Linked DNA regions of Ovis aries. The protein of the gene in region 1 purifies or fractionates together with the protein of each later gene. This does not show direct contact. Links are inferred from orthologs where the notes say so. Each region holds a gene or a part of one and is shown in the gene's direction. Other genes may lie near its edges.

What was found.
Region 2: the proteins of SLC39A11 (region 1) and FAM174A purify together in Homo sapiens (co-immunoprecipitation; 3 studies listed by BioGRID and IntAct, counting the BioPlex papers as one, with this or other methods). This does not show direct contact. The link is inferred for Ovis aries from reciprocal best matches to the Homo sapiens genes SLC39A11 and FAM174A.
Region 3: the proteins of SLC39A11 (region 1) and GALNT16 purify together in Homo sapiens (co-immunoprecipitation; 3 studies listed by BioGRID and IntAct, counting the BioPlex papers as one, with this or other methods). This does not show direct contact. The link is inferred for Ovis aries from reciprocal best matches to the Homo sapiens genes SLC39A11 and GALNT16.

Annotation. Positions count from the first base shown.
Region 1 is NC_056064.1:57,584,284-57,592,033, forward strand, and holds part of SLC39A11 (zinc transporter ZIP11), read left to right. Parts: intron 1-3,814; coding exon 3,815-3,985; intron 3,986-7,750. UniProt on the Homo sapiens protein: Zinc importer that regulates cytosolic zinc concentrations either via zinc influx from the extracellular compartment or efflux from intracellular organelles such as Golgi apparatus. May transport copper ions as well.
Region 2 is NC_056058.1:97,363,644-97,372,167, forward strand, and holds the start of FAM174A (membrane protein FAM174A), read left to right. Parts: upstream 1-2,878; 5' UTR 2,879-3,071; coding exon 3,072-3,514; intron 3,515-8,524.
Region 3 is NC_056060.1:79,143,981-79,152,162, forward strand, and holds the start of GALNT16 (polypeptide N-acetylgalactosaminyltransferase 16), read left to right. Parts: upstream 1-2,600; 5' UTR 2,601-2,973; coding exon 2,974-3,150; intron 3,151-8,182. UniProt on the Homo sapiens protein: Catalyzes the initial reaction in O-linked oligosaccharide biosynthesis, the transfer of an N-acetyl-D-galactosamine residue to a serine or threonine residue on the protein receptor.

The DNA of each region.
Region 1 (7,750 bases):
CACTGCGCCTTTTAACATCCGGGGAACAAAGAGCAATGACTCAAACTTAAATAAAAAAGGAAAAGGATAGACTTGGGACTAAACAAAAATGCCCTGCAGCCATTAAAAACTAGAGTCCCAGAGGCTACGGCATTTAGGAAATATTTCTGAGGTTTTAAATGAAACAGGTGGAATATGAAACTGTTTACTATGATGTGTAAGCCACGTACACACTGCTGTATTTAAAATGGATAACCCAAGAGGGCTTCTCCGGTGGCTCAGCGGTAAAGAATCCACCTGCCAATGCAGGAGACGCGGTTCAGTCCCTGGGTGGGGAAGATCCTCTGGAGGAGGAAATGGCAGAGCACTCCAGTGTTATTGCCTGGAAAACCCCGTGCACAGCGGAGCCTGGCTGGCTACAGGCCACAGTGTTGCTGAGTCGGACATGACTGAACACAGGCATAGCACAGCAAGGATTTAGGGAGAAGGAGTTTCTTCCAGGGACCTGAAGCTTTCTGTGTTTAGCGGATGAGAATTTGCCTACTTGTGCTAATTCAACCAGATCATCTCCAGTAATATCTTAGGGACATTCCTAAAGCTCTTGTGGCTGTTGATCTATTAATTAGTGTTCCTTTTATTCTCTGGTGGCCGAACGTCCATCTCTGGGCCTATTATTGATGGATTTGGTCGGTTACATCATCACAGAGGCGGCAAACATCCTGTCCCTGCTGAGTCTGGGCCCATGGGGGACGAAATGAAGGTTACCGTGGCATTTATCTAGCAAGATGAAATCTGTCTGAGGGCCTTGAATCCGTAAGGACTCATTGTTCCAAAATCATCCTTGTATTTTTTTTTTTTTTTAACTGGAAAGGCGATAGGAAGTCCCACCTTAGTTTCTAAAGCATCGGTGGTGGAAAGTGATTCAGAGCCTGTGATCTGAGGACATCAGGCCCTTTCACGGGGGAGGAGGTCACACCCCGAGGGGAGGGGGCTTATCTCCTCTCCCCGCAACTTCCCCAGCTTGTGCCCACCAGACCCAGCTCTGTTTTTTTGCTGTACAGTACGGTGTGTTGGTCCAAGCATCACGTCCCTTGTTTGGGGGAGAAGAAAGCAGGGGACAAAGTGTGTGTAATAAAGTCACCTCGTGATTCAGCTGGAAAAGGAGCCTTGGTCTGGTCTGTCTGTTCCCTGTGGTCCTCATTCCCACATTTAGCAATGGGGTGCCTCCCCCGGAAGGATGAAGAGCGGGGAGGCAGGCTGAGCCCCGGCTTTGGGCGGGCCCCTTCTCAGTGTGGATGCGTAGATGCTTGAGTTTAAATTTTTAAAACAATGGGTTTTGATGATGGGCAACTTTGAAGCCTTTCCACCTTCCTTAAAGGATTGTAACCCAGTGTCCCTGGCTTGGTGTTAATAAATATATCCTACCGACAGCGGCTTTATACTTAAAACAGTAGATCTAACGGGTTAACAAATAGTGTCTTCACGGTTTCGGGTTTGTTGACCAGCGGGAGTGATTATAGAAAAGGGGTTTCCACGGAGCCTTTTCTGCCGCTGATGATGCAGGCTCACTGGGTCTCTTTGAACTTAAGTGTCTTGGATTTCAAGTTCCTAAATGTCACTGCGGTGACTGGCTTTGCTATGCTTTGGGGCTTCCCTGGTGCCTCAGATGGTAAAGAATCTGCCTGCAATGCCAGAGACCCAGGTTCGATCCCTGGGTCGGGAAGATCCCCTGAAGAAGGGAATGGCAACCCACTCCAGTATTCTTGGCTGGAGAATCCCAGGGACAGAGGAGCCTGGGGGCGGGCTGCGGTCCATGGGGTCGCAAAGAGTCGGACATGACTGAGCGACTAACACACACTCTTGCGAGCAAAGGGGTAGGTCACCACGCCACCCCCGGCTCCCAGTCAACCGCAGGGCCCTGGTTAAGAGGTGGCTTCTGGAGGCAAAGGACCCAGCTCGACTCCTGCACCCAAGATGGACTCGGGACTCGGAATTCAGGACTGTGACTTGGAACCAGGTGCTCTACCTCTCCGTTCTTTAAGTTCCTCGTTTGTTGAAGGGGATCGTCTCTACCTCATGGGGCTTTTGGAAGGAAGGAGGATTTGTTGAGACTAAGTGTTTAGTATTACCCACCATGTCACTGGTGAGGTTTTTCATTCCTAAACCCGACATTGGCTGTTTCTTCCGCAAAACGTCCTTCCCCTTTGCCGAATCCTCCTTGAAAAGTGCCCAGACCTCTCCTCTCCCAGGAAATCTCACGGGTCGACCCCTAATCCCACGCTGGGCTCAGCTGTTGCCTCTGTTAAGGGGTCACCCTTCATCCGCGGTGCTGGCATCTTACTAGACAGAGTGTGAAGATTTAACCAGCCTTCCCAGGAGAGGCGAGAACATTCACAGCTGGGGACGCACCCCTCCTCTCGGCGATGATTTATCTGGACTAATGTTCCTCGTTGCAGGCTCATTAGTGGCTGTTATCAAATGCTGGCTTATTTACCTTTCCCAGCACATCAGGCGCTTGCACCCTGCCGTTTCCCACCAGCGAGAGGCAGCCACAGCCGCGCTCACACTTCGGCGAGGACCCCGAGGCGAGGCGCGCATCCTCGTCTCGGTGCATCCTCGTCTCGGTTCATCAGACTTTACACCTCTCAACGTTCCTGTCACACACGTGTTTGGTGCTGGAATTTGCTCACGAGGCCCCCGGCTCCACTGCTGTCTGTGCGTCCCTTGCAGGAGACCCAGAGTCGGATCCTTCTGTGACGGGGACAGGAATGAGCGTGGGCCCCCCGTGCTTGTTTGGGACAGTGCACTTCTGTCCCTTTGATTCGAGGGCGTGGTCTGTGTCCAACCATCTGTCCTTCCTGAAGTTATGAAAATCCAAAAGGGAAGAGTTATTTGTTTTATTTTGTCTCTATCAACTCCCACCAGAGAGCATCCCTGTTGGGGCTGTGTGTTCAGAGGGGAGTCTGGGCGTCCGGGGTGTCCACTGACCGGCCCCAGAGACAGCTGAGTGCCCCCCATCACTGCATAGCTTCCTCTTTGCCCTGCACTCAGGTCTGGTTGCTTGTGTCTTTGGTGTTTATGGACTTAAAAGCCCACGTGTTTTGTTCAGTTCCAGGACAAGTCTCTGTAGCCTGAGTTATCAGGTATTGTCAACAATTAAAAAAAAAAAACAAAAACGAGGTGTGCTGAGAAGCACACACCTGTGCATACGCACACAAAGACGATCTAATATCGGAGGCAAGAAAGATGGTCCTAGCCTCCCCCGGTGGAGCAGTGGGTAAGAATCCGCCTGCCAGTGCAGGGGACTCGGGTTCGATTAAAACTGGGCTGTTGGGCCTTCCTGCTCACGGTGGACGTCCCAACGACGGGACCTGATGGCCTGTCTGCGTCATCCGTGTCAGGGTCTGCAGGCTCAGATGATGGAGAGACTCTCCTTTCCATTTGTGCCACTGCGGGTTTAAGATTTGATCAAGACCCTCCTCCCCAGGAAGCCTCCCTGATAGGTAAGGGGCTGCGAACCGCAGCCTGTATTCTCTGTCTCCGTCTTGCTCTCCCGTATTTCAGAGCCGGGCAGTTTGCCTCCATTAGGAATCAGATAAATCACCCATGGATATTTGGGATAATCTGGGCATTTGGGAAACCATGAGTATTTGGGATAATCTGACCCTAAGAACAGAGTAATGAATGAAGGCGTGGAGGACCAGATGGCTGCATTAGGAAGTTAGGAAATAGACCTCGTCCGGTAGCGCAAGCTCCCCCTCGCCGCTGCTTGTCCGAATCCTGACGTGCCTTCTTTCTAACGGCTCTCTCTTTATGTCCCTCTCTTTCTGCTCAGACAAGAGTGAGAACGGCGAGGCGTATCAGAGGAAGAGGGCCGTGGCCGCCGACCTCGCGGAGGGCCCCGCCGCCCCCGGGCCGCCTCGGGGCAGTGCGGCGCAGCCCGGCGGCAGCAGCTGGAGGCGGATCGCGCTGCTCATCCTGGCCATCACCATCCACAACATCCCAGGTGAGAGCCCGCGCGAGCGTCCGCAGGGGGCGCATCTCTGTCGGCTCGGCGACTTGAAGAGGGGCTTGGGCAGCCGTGGTGCGGGTCCTTTCTCCAGTGGTCCCCAGCCTTCTCGGCACCTGGGACCGGTTTAGCGGAAGACCGTTCTTCCGTGGACCGGCGCTGTGGGGATGGTCTGCGGATGATTCCAGTGCGCCGCGTTCCTGGTGCACTTCATGTCTAATCTAGGGCTGCGCTGATCTGACGGCAGGTGCCCGTCTCTGGCCGGAGGCTGGGGACCCCTGCTCCAGGGGGCTGTCGGGGAGGGAGCGCCAATCTTTCCTGAGTTTCTCTTTCGGGTTGCTGGCTCCGGATTGGCCATCGTATGTTCCAACTTCCTGTTCCAGTTACTGCAGACAATTTCACTCTAGCGTCCACCTCTGAGTTCCTTTCTTCGCATATTTGATACCAAGTTATTTGGGCACAGATTCATTAGCTGTTGCTTCTCTTAAACATGGAATATCTCTGGCTTTTCTTAAAGCTTTAAATTTTTAAAAAATGTTTGTTTATTTCTGGCTGCACTGGGTCTTAGTTGTGGCACGCGGGCTAAGGGATGAAACCCATATCGTCTGCACTGAAGGGCAAGTTCTTAACCACCGGACTACCAGGCAGGTCCCCCTGATGCTCTGTTAAAGTATTGAATTCAGTCCAGGTTCACTGTACGGCAGGTCAATAAATCAAGAGGTGAGCTGTTGGGACAAGGAATAGCAACTTTATTCGGGAAGCCAGCAAACCAGGAGGATGGTGGACTCATGTCCCAAAGAACCATCTTGCCTGAGTTAGAATTCAGGCTTCTTTTATACTGAAAGGGGAGAGAGTAAGGGAGAGCATTTGTTTCCTGGTTCTGGTCAGCCTCCGGGGGGATGTGTCCCTTCCTCCTCCTTGCAGTCATTCACAGGTGAGCCTGGTCAGGATGCTCATCACCTGAGACGCAGGGTTCCCAAAGATGGGCCAGGCAGATTAATAACCTGTACTCCCTGCAGAGGAAGCTGCAGAGGGCCATCAGAAAAGTCCTGTGTTATGTATGATTTAAGCTTACAGGCACATCCCTTTAGTGACTGACTTAGAATACAGAGGTTCCTCCCGATTGCATTGCGATCTTTCCTTTTTAGCATTTTGAACTAATTTGTTTCATGTCTTTGGATTTATTTTCATTGGGAAAAAAAAAACTTGTTGGTGTTCTATTTTAAAAATAATGTGTTTTATATAGAATAACTAGAAAAGACAGATAAACATACAGAAGATATTAAAAGCCAAATTGAGGGATGCTGGGGAATCCCTTGTGTTACATTTTAGAATTCCATCTCTGAAGTGAAGTGAAGTGAAGTCGCTCAGTCGTGTCCGACTCTTTGCCACCCCATGGACTGTAGCCTACCAGGCTCCTCAGTCCATGGGATTTTCCAGGCAAGAGTACTGGAGTGGGGTGCCATTTCCTTCTCCAGGGGATCTTCCTGACCCAGGGATCGAACCCGGGTCTCCCCACATTGTAGACAGATGCTTTACCATCTGAGCCACCAGGGATAGTTTATCTTGACAAATGGCTTGAGCTCTCTGAATCTCAGTGTTCTCGTCTATAAAGTGGAGATAATGCTATGACTGAGATGACTGGGCTATTCTTTACAAAGTGAACTACACTAATTTTGATAAATAAATAAGATTATATGTGTATATACACAGTATATACAGTATTTGAGCCGTCTGAGCATGTGAAAGTGGAAGCTGTTATTAGCATTAATAATGCTCCTGATTCCTTCAATCTTTTTTTGAAAGTATTTATTTAACTTCGTTTCTGGTTGTGCTGGGTCTGGGTTGCAGTAGTTTCTGGCACACAGGCTTAGTTGCCCCGAGGCGTGTGGGATCTTCGTACCCTGACCGGGATGAACACCCCCACCTGCACCGGCAGGTGGATTCTAAACCACTGGGCCTCCAGAGAAGTCCCCTCGCTCCTTCAGTCTTGGATTCTGAAATGTTCTGATTCATCTTTTGTAGTTTTGAAGCTCAAGTTTGAGTGATAACCTTGTTCAGGGATCAGCCCCGGGTGATATATTACGTGAGTCCTTGCAGAGTTCATAATGTCACCCTGTTACCCCAACACAGGAGGGAAGGCTGCTCTGGGCAGAGCTTGCCAGGGGCACATATTTCTCCTTGAAGCCCTTGTGAATACCGTTATCTTCTGGCTTCAGTCTGTGGGAGAAAAGGCCACAGCCAAACCGAGTTTATCCCTCGGTGGGTAACTTGAAATTCTTTTGCTTGTGCAATGAAGATTTTTGGGGGTCATTTTTAAAGAAGGGAAATTTCAATACATTATGTATTCCAGTATACGCACACACTCACGCACACACACATGTATGTATATGTGTATGTGTGTGCTCAGGCACTCAGTGGTGTCCGACTCTTTGTGGCCCCATGGACTGTAGCCCCCCAGGCTCCTCTGCCCATGGGATTTCCCAAGCAAGATCACTGGAGTGCGTTGCCATGCCTTCCAGGGGATCTTCCCAACCGAGGATCAAACGTGTGTCTCCCGCATTGGCAGGTGGGTTTTTTACCACTGCACCACTTGGGAAAACCTTATATGTGTGTGGGTTTGTCTGTTTATATACATATATCTGTGTGTGTATAGACATGAAGTGTGTTGAAAGACCAAGTGTCTAATTACTTTTTAGGCTCAGCCTTTCCTCTAGACGAGAAGTATTTTCCTCAAGTATTTCTATCCTGATCTTAGGAATGTCTATCCTATGATCATATAGGCTGATTGGCCTCCTTTTATTTTCAGCCTCTGTTTCCCTCTCATTTCCCTCTTGGCTTTTTCCCTTTGGGTAGAAGTCAAGATTTTGCCCCAAAACAGTCAGCTATTTTGATTGTTTTCCTGGTGCTTGCTATTCAGTATGGATTGAGATGATATCTTACGTGGGACCCCCAGGCACAAACCGGACCAAAGTGGGTTTGCCCCCGTGGAAAGATCTGGTCACACTCACCCCTAGTATTTTTCTTAAATTAATTAATTTTAAAATTAATTCATTTATTTGGCTGTGCCAGGTCCTAATTTCAGCATGCAGGATCCTTAGCTACAGCATGTAGAATCTAGTTCCCTGACCACGGACCAAACCTGGCTCTCCTGCTTCAGGCATGCACTATCGTAGCCACTGGACCTCTGAGGAAGTCCCACACCCCCAGTATCTTGACGAGCCCACTGGGAGACTAAGGGCTCTGCAGAGGGCAGTGCCCAAACCTCCACAGACATGTTCAACCTGTTAACTGCAGGTTGGAGTTAGCAGGTTGAACACGTTATTGGGGAAGAGCATTCTGGGTTCACTTCTCAATCCTTGGAGAAGAGAATTATGCTTATGCTGTATTTGCAGTCACAGTAGTTAGTGGCTTTCACGTAAGATTCCTTGCTTAACCAGCTGAAAAAGAATAAAGATCTAAATATAAATAGATGTGCTTCCCAAGACTCCAGTGGGGCCCAATCCCAGAGTCTCAAGCTCCTGACTTCAGTCCAAAGGAAAATTCACACACCCACCAGCACCTTCTGGCAGCTTCATCCCCTTTGATGAGCACCGTCTCAAGAGCTTCTCTGTCACCAACCTACCTTTGAAAAGGTCCCTTCTCTAACACTTGCCTTCATGGTTTATTAAAAATTTAACTAGAGCTTTGATGTTCCCGGAGACTCTGGGTTTTAAGATAGATTTTCACAGTGACTAAATGGATAATTGATTTTTTTGAAGT
Region 2 (8,524 bases), on another chromosome or scaffold:
TGTTCTGTCAGCTGGGGTGTTCCCTGATAAATCAGAATAATAGGGGTCTTTTCCTAGTATGCAGATTAATTTAAGTAAGTATAACTTTTCTTCTCTTTTATGTTTTTAAATCTCTCCCGATTGATACAACTTGTTTGCAAGACAAAAACATGTAAATGAACAAGTAGGATTATTATTAAGAGAAAAAATTCAAAAACACCAATTAGTTGGGCATTCTGTCTTTTAAATAGGCATGTGTGCCCCAAATTGTCATTTTATATTATACAAGCAAAATACAATATTTTCTCCCAGGAAACTGGTTCCTAGTTCCTGTGATGGAATTAAAAATATGTTTCATGACAGTTTACAAATAATACAGTATTATGCAAAAATCACAATAATTTGCAGCTTCTCTACCTGCTTAAGATCTCAAGCAATTTAAAAATAATTCTTTGTCAGAAGCAGGGAACAGAAAAGAGTTGATTAATGATAGGGACATTAGGGAAATGGGGAAAAGTTGATAACATTTAGATATAGGTGGTAAGGGAATGGAGAGATTCTTAAATGTTAGTGCAAATAAAAATTACCCTGAGAGCTTAGTAAAATGTATACAGAATCTAGAATAGTGATCTAGAATCAACATTTTTAACAAATTCCATTTCTGATTCTGATTCAAGTAGCTAGCTGCAGAAACACTAGAATGATTAGAATGCTCTAATCATTTGCAATCATTAGTTTAACTCTGCTATTTCAGAATTATTTAATACATTGCCATAACCAGTAAGCATGTTGCAGGTGGAAAGCTAAGGATAAATGATGACTCCAAGATTTTACATCTGAACACCTGAGTAAAGAATAATGGCATTAATCAAGATGAGGAAGACAATGGTAAAACGAGACATTGTAAGGAAGGAAAGATGGTGCTTTTGTTTTATTTTTTGGTGTTGAATATTGGATATTTTGAGGAGTGGAAAGGAGTAGCATTAAATACTAACCTTCCATGTAAGGCTCTGAATAAGATTGTGGATAAGGGAGAGAAGAAACCCAAGGAGCCACTTCATTATTGATAAATGTCCAGGTTGGAAACTAAAATTAGTGTGTGTCACCAATGGTCTTTCTCACACTGGAACCCAGCATTAAGATGCCTAGTCCTGGCAATTCCACATGGGTCTGCATGAGTCTATTACCCACCAGCAGCTAGAAGACACTATACTGACCACCTTACCTACAATAGTCCTTTACACAATTTTTACTACAGACTCTGTACTTGTCATTTTTAACATGCACTTCAAAATAAGAATGAATGTTACTATTATGTTATTTCCATCTGACCCTAAGGGGCTATGAGAGCAAGGATGATATCTTGTCTACTGTTCAATACTCAAATACAGTTCTGAAGGAGTAGAAAGTCTAAAAAATTTGTTGAATGAGGAAGTTTTTAAAAGAACAGATCCTAACTTCAATTTCTGGTCTGTTGTTTTTGTTTATAATCTGGTCACCCCAAAGTTCCATATTACTGATGTCAAAGTTAAACAGGCAGAGACTTATTCAAGACGATCACAACAGAAAAGAGGGGCCAGGACTCTGTCTGAACTCAATTCAACAGAAAGCTTAAGATATTTTAAGAGTAGGAAAACTCTCAGGTCAGTTCTGTTTACCCAAAGGAAATTCCGACTCTTTTTGACCTCATGCACTGTAGCCCACCAGGCTCCTCTGTCCATGGGATTTTCCAGGCAATGATACTTGGGTGGGTTGCCATTTCCTTCTTCAGGGGATTTTCCCAACGCAGGGGTTGAATCCGGGTCTCCTGCACTGCAGGCGGATGCTTTACCATCTGAGCTACTAGGGAAGCCTTCACAAAGGAAAAGTAAAATTTCTCTAAGCTTCGTGACGGGAGGCAGTTTTACAACTTGAAACAAAGCGCCTGCCTAACTTAGGCTTCTATGCTTCCAAGGAGACTGGGAGTTACGGGTGCTGTCTCCTTTTCTGCCATTTTAAAAGGATGACTCCTAGTTCAAGAAAGACAGCCCTGGGTTGTAACACGGGAAAGAACTTTTAAAAAGATTTATATCCCCAAAATGCAGAGAATCAATTACCAGTTACCAATACCTGTACCAATTATTGCTACAGTTAACAGTTTTCTAACGTAACGCTCTAAGGAAAGGGAGGTCAAGGACCCAGAGGCAGGAAAAAAATACCTGATAAAATGTGTACCTGAGCTGAGGGAAACGTCAAGGCGGTCTTTAATAAATGATTAGCTGTATTTATGCAGTTTTGCACCAAAAAACTCAAAGTATGAGCTTCCACTCTTTCCCGGTTTCTTCCTGCAAAGAGTTGCACACTTGACACAACTTTTTCCTTTCTTTCTAGTGCGCCAACCTCCCTGTCTAGTAAAATGTGTACCTGAGCTGAGGGAAACGTCAAGGTGGTCTTTAATAAATGATTGGCCGTGTTTCTGCACTTTTGCACCAACGAACTCAAAAGATGAACTTCCAATCTCTCCTGGTTTCTTCCTGCAAAGAGTTGCTGCACACTTGACACAACTGTTTACTTTTTTTCTAGTGACCTAACAACCCAGTCTAGTAAAATATGTACCTGAGCTGAGGGAAACGCCAAGGCAGTCTTTAATAAGTAACTGGTTGTATTTCTTCAGTTTTGCACCAACGAACTCATATTACAAGCTTCCACTCTCTCCTGGATTCTTCCCGCAAAGCGTTGCTGCACACTTGACACAACTCTCTTCCCGTTTGCTTTCCTTCTAGGGAGCAAACCGCAGGCTCCCTCCCCTCGACTTCCGGAAGTGCGCGGGGCGCAAACGGTCTCACGCGCCTGACGTCACGGAACGCGCCAGCCCCGGAAGGTTAGCAACCGGGAGCGTCCCTAGTAGCAGGGGGCTGCTGAGATGTACGAACTTCCGGTTGTCGACAGCAGCTGCAGCTGCCGCCTCCGCCACCTGCGGCGGGCCAGGTCTTCGCCCGGGCCTCAGTCAGCGTTTCTCCCCCGTCTCTTCAGTTAACACGCCCATGGTCCCGCCTGGAGCCAGGGCGGCGGGCGCCGGAGCTCGCGCGCGGTGAGGGAGCCGGCCGCGGACCATGCAGCCGACGCTCTGCAGCTGCTGCCTCAGCCGCGCCCTGGCCTCGGCGCTCCTGCTGTCCCTGCTGCTGCCCGAATTGAGCGGGCCCTCCGCGGGACGGCCGCCGGCAGCGCGGGCCGCGCCCGACCCCCAGCCCGCGGCGCGCGGGCCGCGCACCCGGCCGCCTCCGCCGCCCGGGCCCTCCGCCGCCCGGCCCGCGGGCCGCGCTCCGGCCTTGGAAGCCGCGGGCTCGCGGGGAGCCGAGGGCGGCAATGGCAGCACGCCCGGGGCGGGGCCGGCCGCCGACGACCCTGGCGGGAAGGCGGGGGCCGGGGGCCCGGCGGGCGGCGTCCTGGCCGTGAGCCCCGACCCCGGCGACAAGCCCATGACCCAGCGGGCCCTGACCGTGCTGATGGTGGTGAGCGGCGCGGTGCTGGTGTACTTCGTCGTCAGGACGGTCAGGTGAGGCGAAGCCTCCGCGAGCCTCCCCGGCAGGCCTGAGGCGCGCTTGTCTGCCGACCTCCTCCCACCCCCTCAGTCACGGTGCCTGCTGAGTGAGATTGTGACGAGGACTGTCTTGAAAGCCTGTGGTACCTTTGGGAGTGTTCAGACCGCCAAGTTCGTGCTGCCTCCCTTTTCATGTGTAAACTATCAATTAGCACCGAACCTCTATATCAATATTTATTTGAGTAAATTGATAGTAATGCAGAATGATCTTTAAGGATGATTTATAAAATGGAAAAAAGAAGTTCTTTTAACAGCAGTTTCCTGCTGTTGACTTTTAACTTGCCACCATCGGTTGTACCTTATGAAGTTTCTTGCTTTCCACCTTTTCTGAACCTGGAAACTGACAACTGCGTAGGTTCAATCATTGTTAGAGTCCCCATTAGAAACATCTAGCATTCATTTTGCATGACACTAAATAATGGACATGAGTTTGAGTAAACTCCGGGAGTTGGTGATGGACAGGGAGGCATGGCGTGCTGCAGTCCATGGGGTCGCAAAGAGTCTGAGCGACTGAACTGAAATAATATGGTGTGAAATATTACCAATTTCTTGATAAGGTGGAAAACTGATACCTGTGCAGCAAAGGGAAAAAAGTCATAAATATGATCCCGTTATAATATTGGAGAGTATGTTTAATATCTTAACAACTATATATGTTTTAACTTTACAAAATTTGGATTAGTAAATGGATAGACTTACTTTTTTTAAACTTCCAAAAAGCTTTTCTAAAATGAATTCATCTGTAAATAATTCTAAGTCATTCAGAAGCTTAAAGTTACAAATGAATAGTTTTTTGAGCTTATTCTTAATATAGAATGTTAGAGAATTAGTTAAATTTCAGATTTGTTACAAATATGGACACTTAAACCACGTCTTTAACTTTACCTAGGATAAAACTAACCTAGGAGAATAAAGTGATGTCCCACGATATATAATAATCATCACTGATTGTACAATCCATCATTTGCTTCGTTTGAATTTTTTTCCATGATGTTTGTGTCCAAATCTGTGATCAGCCTTTTGATTAAATCAGGTCCTTACATTGTACCAGGTTATGAATAAGTAAATGACTATCACTTATTTTTCTACTCCCTTTAATGCCTTATCAAGTAGAAAAGGAATTATATAGGTCAATTGGTGATATTTTATATTGTCGTAAGTAACTTCCACTTGATACGTTCTATTGTTACAGAAGTAAAGTTATATTATGGCATGAATCATGGTATTATAACATGCCAAATATGTAATGAGACCGATTTGGAAAAGTCATGATAAAGCCTCTTTAATTGAGTTGGGGACCACCTCTGAAGCGTTGAAATGCAGAGCTAAGAACTCGCTGTTAGAAGAAGCCGAGAGAAGAGCTAAGGAAGCTCTAGGTAGTTCCCTCCTATTTACTGCGGTAGAGGTAGTTGTGTGGGAAGGTACTGGTTTGTTTTCCAAATTATTTCACTTTTTTTCTCCCCTATAACTGCCTACCTTCAACCATTTCATATATTTCTTTAAATGGATTTACTTAAAGTTTCCTTTTAAACATATCTGTTTATTATTTTGTGAGTGAAAAACATTATTTAAGCGAACATTCCTTGGCTTAAATAACTAACTGAAAAAGCACAGCGTAACAGGGAACCCTGGAGGGTGGTAGGGTTCTCTGAGACCTGTTCAGGTATCTGCAATATTGAAACTATTTTCAAAATAATACATTCCCTTATAAGTTTATGACTTCCCTGGTGGCTTAGACAGTAAAGCATCTGCCTACAATGCCGGAGACCGGGGTTCAATCCCTGAGTTGGGAAGATCTCCTGGAGAAGGAAATGGCAACCCACTCCAGTATTCATGTCGGGAAAATCCCATGGACGGAGGAGCCTGGTAGGCTACAGTCCATGGGGTCGCAAAGAGTCAGATATGACTGAGTGACTTCACTATAAGTTTATAGGACCCAAGAAGTTTATTGATAATAGTTTCAAATTCCGCAGTGCAGCTAACTCATAAGAAACTAACTCTTGTCGCGTTTTGGTGTTCTATCAAAAAAAAAATGTTAACACCAGAATCTGAAAAGCTATTAAAATGTACCTCCATTTTCCAAGCTCACATCTACTGTACCTGGATTTTCTTCACATCCTTCAACTAGACAACGCATAGCAAATGATTGAAGGCTGAAGCAGATATGAAAATCTAGCAGTTTCCTATTTTTCTAATTTCTCTCTCTTCATTTTCTATCTCGTTCTCTCTATTTAAGCCAGACATTAACAAGATTTGAAAAAAAAAAAACCTAAATCTGTGCCATTTTTCACCTTTGTTGGTTTTCTTTTTGACTATATTTTTCACAAAAAGCTATGTTAATCTGTAGTGGATTTATTATCATTTTAAAAAGCAAATGGTATTTAAAATTTTCTTAGGTTTAATTAATATATTACGAATTGATATTTATAATCCACATAATTATAAGCTATTCAGGGTCTTAAATAATTTTTAAGAATGTAAAGCAATTTTAAGATCTAATGCTTGACAATCACTGGTGGAAACATTATTTGAGCTGCCATAGTATAGGTTCACAAAACCCAGCAAATCCAGGCCCACTTTTATTAAAGAGAAAGCTAGAAAATGTTCATGAGGTGTTACAGGCATATAACCACCAAACTGAAACTTTCTTCTTGATATGAAAAAAATATTAGAAGAAAATTGAGCAGTAATTATTCTTCTCAACATGTAATTGTTATTTAATGCTGTATATTTCCCATATAGCATTGGAGTACCCTAAGTATTGTTTCATACACAAAATAAATGATGAGTCTGATGATTGATCTTTTTTTATTTTGCTTTTACCTTATTTGTAATCTTAACATATAAATATTTCTTGCCATGGATTTTCCATCTTCATTTCTGTAAAGCTTATAAGCGTGCAGTCTTTTCAGTCTGATTCTATTGGATGAGTCACTAACATTGTCTGTTAACAGCAAAATTCTGAATCTATGGCTAAGAAAAATTGGACTCTTTAACTAGCATCTAGTACATTCATTCAGGCCAACTCCTAAATATAGTTGGCCCCCTGATGTCCAACTTGATTGATGCTAACAATGTCTGGGCAATGTTCAGAACAGAACTCATTCTTTTTGCTTCCAGATTATGAAAATCATTTATTTTGATGAATATCCATTTTGACTCTCCACTTCCAAAATAGGTGTGGCAACACAGCAGCATTATTTATTTGTGCCAACAGGGAAGAATGGGCCAAAAATCATCCTTTAGTTAACTGATATGAGAAAATACTGAGAATATTTTACTTGTAAAGGACTTGAACTCCATAAAACTTCCATACTGTTTTTAATCTAATTCAGTTATTAAGAATGTGTAACTAGAAGTAACTTCTCCTCTGAGTCTAGAACTATTCCAAAGAAAAATTAGATTCTCCCTGTAGAAATTGTAATATATATATAGAAGGAATAAAATAGGCTTCCTAAGATTAGTATATAGTCTTTACGAAAAGAGACTCTCGTTGTATGTCTTATTCTCGATTATATCTGCAGTGCTGAACATTATGTACAAAATGTGGTAGGCACTGGGTAAGCAGTTGCCTAATATATGAGCATTCTTGGTTCTTAATCAGGGATCAGTGGGTCTAGGGAAGACTCAAAAACCTCAGAACAAAGGCTCTTTACAAATCATTATTTAGCTAAGGCTAAGTACAGTGTTTGCATTCAGGCATTAACTAAATGAACTGGGCTTGATTACACTGAGAAATGTTTGGGTAGGGAAAACAGTTATTTTATTAGACTTTTCAAAGGAAATAACATTTTCCATCTCCTGTGTATTTTTCCTTTAACACTTCCTTCCAATATTAAAGGAATATTAGGTTACTACTTCTCTTAGTTACTATATTAATTAAACACATAGAATGACCCCAGCTAACTTAAACTAAAGGGGATTTCTTGGAAGAATATTGAGATCTCAGAAAGTCAAAATGCAACAATTAGAACCGGACATGGAACAACAGACTGGTTCAAAATTGGGAAAGGATTATGTCAAGGCTGTATATTTGTCACCCTGCTTATTTAACTTATATGCAGAGTACATTAGGCAAAATACTGAATCACAAGCTGGAATCAAGATTGCCGAGAGAAAGTCAATCACCTCAGATATGCCAATGACACGCCCTTACGGCAGAAAGTGTAAGAGGAACTAAAGAGCCTCTTGGCGAAGGTGAAAGAGGAGAGTGAAAAAGCTGGCTTAAAACTCAACATTCCAAAAACTAAGATCATGGTATCCAGTTCCATCACTCCATGGCAAATAGATGGGGAAACAGTGAGAGACTTTTATTTTCTTGGGTTCCATAATCACTGCAGATGGTGACTGCAGCCATGAAATTATGAGACATCTGCTCCTTAGAAGAAAAGCTATAACAAACCTAGACAGTATATTAAAAAGCAGAGACATTCCGACAAAGGTCTGTCTAGTCAAAGCTATGGCTTTTCCAGTAGTTATATATGACTGTGACAGTTGGACCATAAAGAAGTCTGAGCACCGAAGAATTGATGCTTCTGAACTGTGGTGTTGGAGAAGACTCTTGAGAGTCCCTTGAACTTCAAGGAGATCAACCTGTCCATCCTAAAGGAAAACATTCCTAAATATTCTTTGGAGGGACTGATGCTGAAGCTGAACCTCCGATACTTTGGCCACCTGATGTGAAGAGCTGACTCATCAGAAAAGACATTGATGCTGGGAAAGATTGAAGGCAGGAGGAGAAGGGGATGACAGAGGATGAGATGGTTGGATGGCATCACTGACTCAATGGACATGAGTTTGAGCAAACTCTGAGAGATAGTGAAGGACAGGGAAGCCTGGTGTGCTGCAGTCCATGGGGTCGCAAAGAGTCAGACACAAATGAGGAACTGAACAACAACAAAGTCAAAGAGCAACTGGAGATTCACAGAAACTAAGTCAGTTTAGGAGAGAAGACACTAAAATACC
Region 3 (8,182 bases), on another chromosome or scaffold:
GATGTTTTTGAACTGTGGTGTTGGAGAAGACTCTTGAGAATCCCTTGGACTGCAAGGAGATCCAACCAGTCCATCCTAAAGGAAATCAGTCCTGAATATTCATTGGAAGGACTGATGCTGAAGCTGAAACTCCAATACTTTGGCTACCTGATGCGAAGAGCTGACTCATTTGAAAAGACCCTGATGCTGGGAAAGATTGAAGGCGGGAGAAGGGGACAACAGAGGATGAGATGGTTGGATGGCATCACTGACTCAATGGGCATGGGTTTGAGTAAGCTCCGGGAGTTGGTGATGGACACGGAGGCCTGGCGTGCTGCAGTCCATGGTGTCACAAAGAGTCAAACATGACTGAGCAACTGAACTGAACTGACCTGAGTGGGGAAGTTTGTCTTTGGGACAGAGTTACCAGGCAGTGACAATTTGGGGCAGATGTATGGCATCCTCCCCACTGAGCCCTGGGGAATAAGGGGTGAGACTCACAGAAATCCTGACAAATTCCAGATCCTCCTTCCCTCCCTCCCCTCATGGAGCCCTCCTTCTGGAGCCATCAGAAACCCATCAGCCTGATTTTGGTTTGGCCTGATCCAGCTTCATCCCCCATGCTGAAGGGATGTCTTTGGATTCCACATCCTCTTACCCGGTTCTTCATGACCAAAGGCAACTAGACATGCAAAAACCAGGCTGATGGAGGGAGCAGCCTACAGCAACAGAGGGCCATTCTCCGAGTCTTCCCATCTGGCTGACCTGAGAGCCTGTATGGAGGTGGGGACACCAGGATGGCAGTTCCCTTACATTTTCTCCTTGTCTGGAGATGCCTGTGGGGCCTGATTCCTAAGGAGCAAGGTCTCCCTGGCTTCCCAGACAGAACATGACCCCTGGATCTGCCCCATGATTCATGCAGAAACCAGAGAGTGGCTGGACAGTGGTTTTCTTGGTCTGTGGAAATGAATCCTGGTCCCTGCTGCAGTCTAATTAAACTCTCCAGGCAAGGCAGACGGGGGACAGCAAGGCTGGCAGGAATCCCCGCACCTTCTCCTATTGCTCCTGTTACCATCTCCTCTTGCCTCAGATTCCCTGCTACTCTTACAGAGCTCTTGGTGAGATCCTTTTTTGTCCATGACCCTTCTTAGGGTCACATTCTTGCAAGGGTCATGTTTGGATTTGTCCTCGTGGTGAGACTTCAGAGTGAGGAAAGGATATTGCAGTTATAACGATGACTTTTCTGCAGCCAGAAAACCCACTCAGGTTTTCTTCCTTCAATTTACTTCACTCCAGTGGAAATGTATGGAGCGTCTACTACATGCACATTTCAGTCCTGCTGCTGGAGAAACAGGGACGGAGGGGTGCTGATGGAGGTGGCAGGATAAAGCATGAGCTGTGACCTCACCATCTGCCAGCTTCATTTAGAGGCCAGGACCCGAGGTGGTCTTTCAGACCAGCCAGTGTCCAGGAGCACCAGGAGGACACAAACTCCTTGACAACCCTGCCTCTCACATGCAAGGGCCTCCTGGGTCCAGACTGCCTCAGCCTGGCCAACCTCAACTCCCACCAAGAACTTTCCAGATCCTGGTACCCAGCACCACCAGGTACCTCTCTTCTTTGAAAGCATCAAGTACTTTCATCCTCTGGACGTTTTCTCAGGCTGTTCATGGCGCTCACACCCTGCCCTGTCCTCCCCTTTCCTACCTCTTAAGACTTTATTCGAAGAATTTATCCACTTTCTTTGAGAAGCCTTTCCTTAAGACTGCCTTGCGGTACAGTATTTCTTCCTCTGTGACCTCTGCTTGGTTAGTTAAGTTAATATCTATTTAGTATCTAATATCTATTCCCTGAGTGTCTGTTTCATGCCTGATCCTGCGCTGGTCTCCTAGAACTAACTTAGCCCACCTTGCTGTCTGCTCGTAAGTGAGAGTAGTTCACACAGAGCCGGGGCAGAATCTCACTGGTTTCTGTGTCAGTGTTTTGAACTTTGCTTTAAGTGTCAGACGGAGAGGTAGTTTCTAGAATGGGCTCTGCCACTAATTAGTCGTGTGGCCTCGGGCGAATCTTCCAGCCTCTCTGGCCTCCTCCCTTCTTCCTGATGAAACGGTGACGACGATACCCCCGAGTTGTCCAGCGGACAACGAGGCGGGGTGGAGGGAAGCATCGTGAACGCTGGGAGCCCCAGGCGAACGGAAGAGGTGAGGTGGTTGTACCCACAATCTCCTTTCACTGGCTGCGAAGCCGCGTCTCTTCCCTTTCGCTCTCTTCGAATGTCAAGTGCACCGGCTTCCAATCCCTCCTCGGGGCGGGCCCTCTGGCGGCTCGGCATCCTAGGCTGCGGAGGATCCCGATGCAAACTCCAGACTCTCCTCGCACCCAGCTGCCCCTTCCCAAGGACTCGCCGAACACATCTTAAACCCTGTTCAGAGCGCAGCCCCAGAACTGCAGCTCCGCTGCGCGGGCCCCGGCCGGGGTCGCGCATCTCCAGCCGGTGACTCAGGGCCGCTCGGTCCGGGAGTGGGTGGAGGTAGGCGGGACAGACCCGGGCCGCGCGGGGGCAGGCGCCGGGAGCTCGGTCGCGGAGCAGTTGGAGTCGAGACTGGCTCTGGCCCGTCGCCATTCCGCCGCGGGCGTCTGCCTCGCCGGGCCTTCTTCTCGCGCCGCTTCGCATCCGCTGCGCTCCTTTCCCGGGGCGCAACGGCCCGGCAACCCGCCGGGGCTGGAGCGCGGGGCCGGCTCTGCGAGCGAATGAATGGGCGCCCGGGGGAGGCGCGCGCCTGGGGCTGAAGGGCATTAGGACCGTGAGGATCGCTCCGCGCTCCTGTCTCTCCCTATCACCCCCCCACCCCCCACCTCTCTCCTTTTTCTGCTCTGCAGGACCGAGCAGCCCCGCGCGAGCGAAAACAAACAGCTGGGGCTGAGAGTGGCCCCCGCCCCGGCCCCGAGAGCACGCCGGCCCGGGCCCCTACTCCGGGCGTCCGCCCGCCCACCATGAGGAAGATCCGCGCCAATGCCATCGCCATTCTGACCGTAGCCTGGATCCTGGGCACTTTCTACTACTTATGGCAGGACAACCGAGCCCACGCAGCATCCTCCGGCGGCCGGGGCGCAAAGAGGGCGGGCGGGAGGCCAGAGCAGCTCCGAGAGGACCGCACCATCCCGCTCATTGTGAGTACGCGCTGCGCGCGGGGTGGGCGGCCGGGGAGCCGCGGCGCGCGTCCTAGCCCCGCGCGGCTGCAGAGGGCGCGGGGCCGGGCCGGGGGCTGCGTGCCCGCTGCGCTCCGCCGGCTTTGTATACGTTGGAGCATTCCTGTCCGTTGTTATGGCAACCTCAGTCGGGCTAGCGGGGCCAGGGCGCAGGGATGGAGGGAGGGTGACAGCGGGTGGGGGCTGGGAGAAAGTACTGCAAGTTTGGTGGGCCCGGCGTGCGCACACGACTGGGAACGTGGCGGCGCTCTCGGCACTGCGCCGCGGGGCCCGGGGCGCAGGGGCCGGGAGTTGGGGGTTAGGGGTTACCCCCGCCTCATGCGTCCGGGAAGGCAGCTGGACCTTGCGCACGGCGAGCGGCAGTGAGAACCGCACGCTGCTAAGCGCGTGGGTGGCCGTGTTCTCCCCCTCTCCAGCCTCTTGGGGGCAAAAGACGTGGGGTGAGGACGCTGGGTAAGGCACGGTCACTAGGGGCTGTGCTGGACTTCGAGCCCCCTTCTCAGACCCGGTCAACTTGAACCTGCTTGTGATGAGGACTCCCTACGACTACCCCCAGGGTTCTCTGGATCCAGGAAAGGTCTCGTCCTGAAGGCGTCCCTCGCCCCAACACCAGTCCACCGCCACGGGTGAACTAGCAGTGTCTGGCCCCCCGACGTCAGTGCGAACGGCGGGGCATGGCTGGGGCTCGATGGAGGTGCAAGAGTGCCCTCCCGACGCTCTGGGGGCCTGGACTGGGGCGTGCCTGTCACTGCCTCCTCCAGGGCCCCGGGTGACAGCTGTGTGTGGCAGGGGCACCTGTTGAGACGGGAGGTTCCGGGACCCGCGGCAGGCGCGCTCGGGCGGGCCGCGTCCTTCGTATGGGGGCGGATGGTGGGCGAGACCCTTGGGCGACCCTCGGGTCTGGGCTAAGGGGCGGGGCCGCCTGGGGGAGCGGAGTGTGGGGCTGAGCATGGCCATTCCGAAAGGCCTGGCCTTGAGGAGCCCCCCAGGGAGGCGCAGGGTCAGGAGGGCGAAGGCTTGTGTGGAGGAGAATCTGAGGTCTTCGTGCCAAGGCAGCCGAATCCCAGGAAAACGGAGTGTTGTCTGTAGGGAGGTTGTCGTTGTGTGGAAGGCTCTCGTGTTCCCATCCTGTCCCTGATTCCGTGTCTTGTTACCTACCAGGAAAGAAGTAGCTATCCCCTGCAAAAGAGCATTTCCAGGCTGTGCCTGAGGAGACTTTGGGGCCCCTGGGCTTTCCCCCAGCCCCACTCCCCCATGCCCATCTACCCCTCTGGTGGAGCTCTCTGGGACTGCGCCCTGATTAGGTGAAACGCTCTGCTCTGAGCTGACGGTGCCTACCACTAGCACAACGTTTTCAAAGCACTTGTGGACGTTTGGACAGACAGGCTGATGAGGCAAAAAGCCTCCGGGGTCAAGATCCTGGAGAGTTGGGATCTGGGTGGACAGATAGATCAGAGTCAGAACTGGGCAAACCAGGAGCGGCCCCTGACCGACCCCGGGGAGCTTCCACAGCAAGGACTCATCCAAGCTGCTGCGTTCCTGCTCTCCAAGAGGGCCAGCTCTGGCCCAGAGTAGGCGGGCCTGGAGTGGCAGGGGAGACGCAGACTGCCCAAATGCTCTGTCCTTTTCTGTGGTGACGTGATGGGAGGAGGGTCTGAGCTCGAGGAAGAGGGGGAGGGGATGAGGGGGAATGGAAGGGAAGGGCACAGAGAAGCTAACTGCTGCTCAGAGCTCCAGGCTGGTCTCATCACAGGTGCCGGCGCTTCAAAATCCGGGCCAGGCCACTCAGACTGAGAGCCCCGGAGGGTGCCGGGGGCTTGGGGGCCGCTGCTGAATGTGGGTGGCACTCATTTTGAGGGGGTAGCAATTGGAGGTCATGGGAGCTGCAGTGAACGTCCTCTCCTTGTTCCCTTGTGGTCGGACTTGCGGCAGATTAGAAGAGGACTGTGAACTGGAAGCTGGGTTTCAAGTATGAAGAAGAAGCGGGGAGCCAGGAACGGAGGTGCAGGAAGAGAGGGAGAGTGGAAGTTCCCGGCAGTGAGCAGCAGAGCCTTCTCCGGCCACTCCAGGCATAGCCCGCTCCCTCGCTGTTCTTAGGCTTTAAGCCCAGGATGTCTGTTCCCTGGGCGTTGATCCCCAGTCACACCCTGCCTTTGACACAGCCTTGCATTCCCATATTCTGGGGTATTTCACTTCATTGGGATTCTCAGCTATCGGCCTGTCTCTTCATTGAGTGGCAGCTATCACTCAGGGACTGTGCAGGAAGCTTCATGCAACCCCACCTTGATGAGCACAGCAAGACTTAAGAAGTACTGTTAAATGAGTGAAGAACGATTTCTGCTCATCTCTGGGAGCCATCAATGATCCAAGTGTCATATCCCACTAATACTTTATTCCAGCTCCAGCCTGACTCTTAACTAGAGAGCTAGAGGAATGTATGTTCAGCTTCTCCAGGAGATAAACCCTTTGTTCAGCTTAAAAGGGGCAGGTGCAGCTGAAGATTTGCTTTCTGTCTGAAATCCATGGTTAACCTCTCACTGGTCTTCTTGCCATTTCAAAACATGTCCCTGTCTAGTTGGGCCAGAATGTGCCGCACGTGGATTTTCAGATTCTTAGGGAATGATGCAGCCAGCTCTGCTGACAGAGGCTAAGGAAATTCAGACAGGCGTCATCATCCCTCCCCTGAGGGATCAGAGAGCTGAGCTGAGAAAGGGAGGGTCTGCATAACAGCCTGGGCCAGGAGGCAGCTCTGGCTTCACAGTGTCTGGGTGATCCGAAGCCAGCCAAGTTGTTTCTGGACCTTGGAGACACTTGTTTGGCATTGTGGGGTGTCGGCATGGCAACCGGATGGCCCAGATTTCTGGGGGAGGTCCTGATTTTTAATATTCTGTCCTGCTGTCAGCCCATGTGTCATAAATTTTGATGTGCAAAACTGGTTATGGAATCTGTCAAACTAAAGAAGGAGAGATACTGACTTCATCAGTAAATGGCTGTTTGCGAGGTGGCAGGGTCTGTGATTTTCTCCATGCTGTGCTTTATGGGCAAGGCAGTGGATTTGAGGATATCTACTTGAATCTACACTGATGCTCGCTAGCTCTGGACAGCAGCCAAAGCAGGAGGTGGAGCAGACACAGCTGGCCTTCAGTCTTCGGGCCTCACAGCCGGGAAGAACATTTGTGATTGGTTTGGTTTTCCATATGTGAAGTCTCTATTAGGCATGGAGAGGGGGGCAGGATACTAAGGTGTTACACGGAATTTCACTTTACAGACATATTTTTAAAAGACTGTCCATTGTGGGTATTTTTAGGATAGGTGTACTCCTTTACAAGGTCTCCTATTTGAAACCATGGAAGTTTTAGGCAAGAGTGTTCCCAAGCTGGAGTTTTTTATCCTATCGGTGGGGTACTGCTCAGTGAGCATGGACAAAAACTTGTATCTCTGGACCTTAGTTATTTTGTGTGTTAAATTTGAGTGAGGGAATTCCCAGTGGTTTAAGATTTTGTGCTTTCCATACCAAGGGCATGGGTTTGATCCCTGGTCCAGGAACTAAGATCTCACAAGCCCTGCTATGTTTGGGATTTATTTAAATAAATAAATTTGGGTGAAATGATTTATAAGGTGTGTGGACCCTTGGGTACGTTGATGATAGTTTCATTTCTAGAAGCAGATAAATGGCTTTAAGGGAGTTCTTTTGAACAAAGTTGTAAGATTTATGGCTAATTGAGGGGCTACCCCTGTCTGGAGTAGTTCCCCTGGTAACCTTAGAGCCTGCACAGGGATCCCTGCTTACCTAGCAGAAGGGAATATAGATGATGACTTTTCCAGCACTGTTCCCTGAGAGTAGAGGCTTCAGTTCAGTCTGAATAGGTTTATATTTTATTTATAATGTGTGCATTTCAGAACTGTGGGAATTATGATTTGCCTAAATGACCGAAAATGATGTTATATTTAATTTGTGTAGGTACCACACAAGATAGAGGGTGGGGAGGGAGAATCCCCAATTCCTTTTGCCAAAATGTTTGAATTGAAAGGACGCAATTTCTTCTTATTGGACTCCCGGCCTGGATCCTGTTGAGACCTGTCTGTAGGACCTGGGGACCACACTGAGGCCACAGGACTGGTAAGGGCCCTCACAGCCCAAGAGTCCCTTTCCTGGGAGACCCGCGTGCCGAAGACACAGGATCCGTTTTAGGGTTCTGGTCGTCCTCCCGCTGCTGTCGTAGCAGCAGTTCCTGCACCAGCTGCTCTGAGGGTGTTGGGCCTGGCTTTCCTCTTTGGTGACTGTGTTTGTCATCTCTGTGGGCACAGGAAGCCCTGGGGTCTGGAAGTGCCATTGAAGTGGGCGTGCAAGGGCACTGATGGGCCTGGCTGGGCCCCAGGACTGTCTTGCTGTAATGGAAGAAACCCCCCTGGGCTCAGAGGGGAGCCTGGAGCTGAGCAGTTCATTACAGTTACAAGATTGCAGATTTATCCCTGTGCCTTCTTGAAGAGACCTGAAGCACCTCCCCCTAACCACGTGAACAGTGAGGCTAAACAGACAGGAGACTGAAGGGTTTCAGAAAGGAGCAGGGGGCAGAGTTGTGAGACTCAGGTCAGTGATGAGTCCACGAGGGCGGAAGTTCGGTTCACTGAGCCAGACAGCGTGCTTGGGGCCACCCCAGGCGGTGTGCAGCTTGCTTTGGAACCGGCCTCAGCTTCTCTTCCCTGAACTCTGTAATCTTTGACCTATGCCCGTTAGCCTCCGTAATCACTGCTGCCTCTGTGTTATGTTTCTGGTGGCGGCATTTGTGGGACACGTCAGTGCTGTGTTAGGTGTTTTACAGGCCTGAACCTCCTAGAATCCCTTCAGTAACCTAATGAGGTCAGCGCCATTATCATGCCCAGTTAACATGAGTAAACTGAAGCTCAGACAGAGCCGGTGACTTGCCTGTGATCTAGCACCGAGTTAAGTGCTGGATTTGAAGGTGTGTCTGCCTCTGAAGCCCATGCTCTT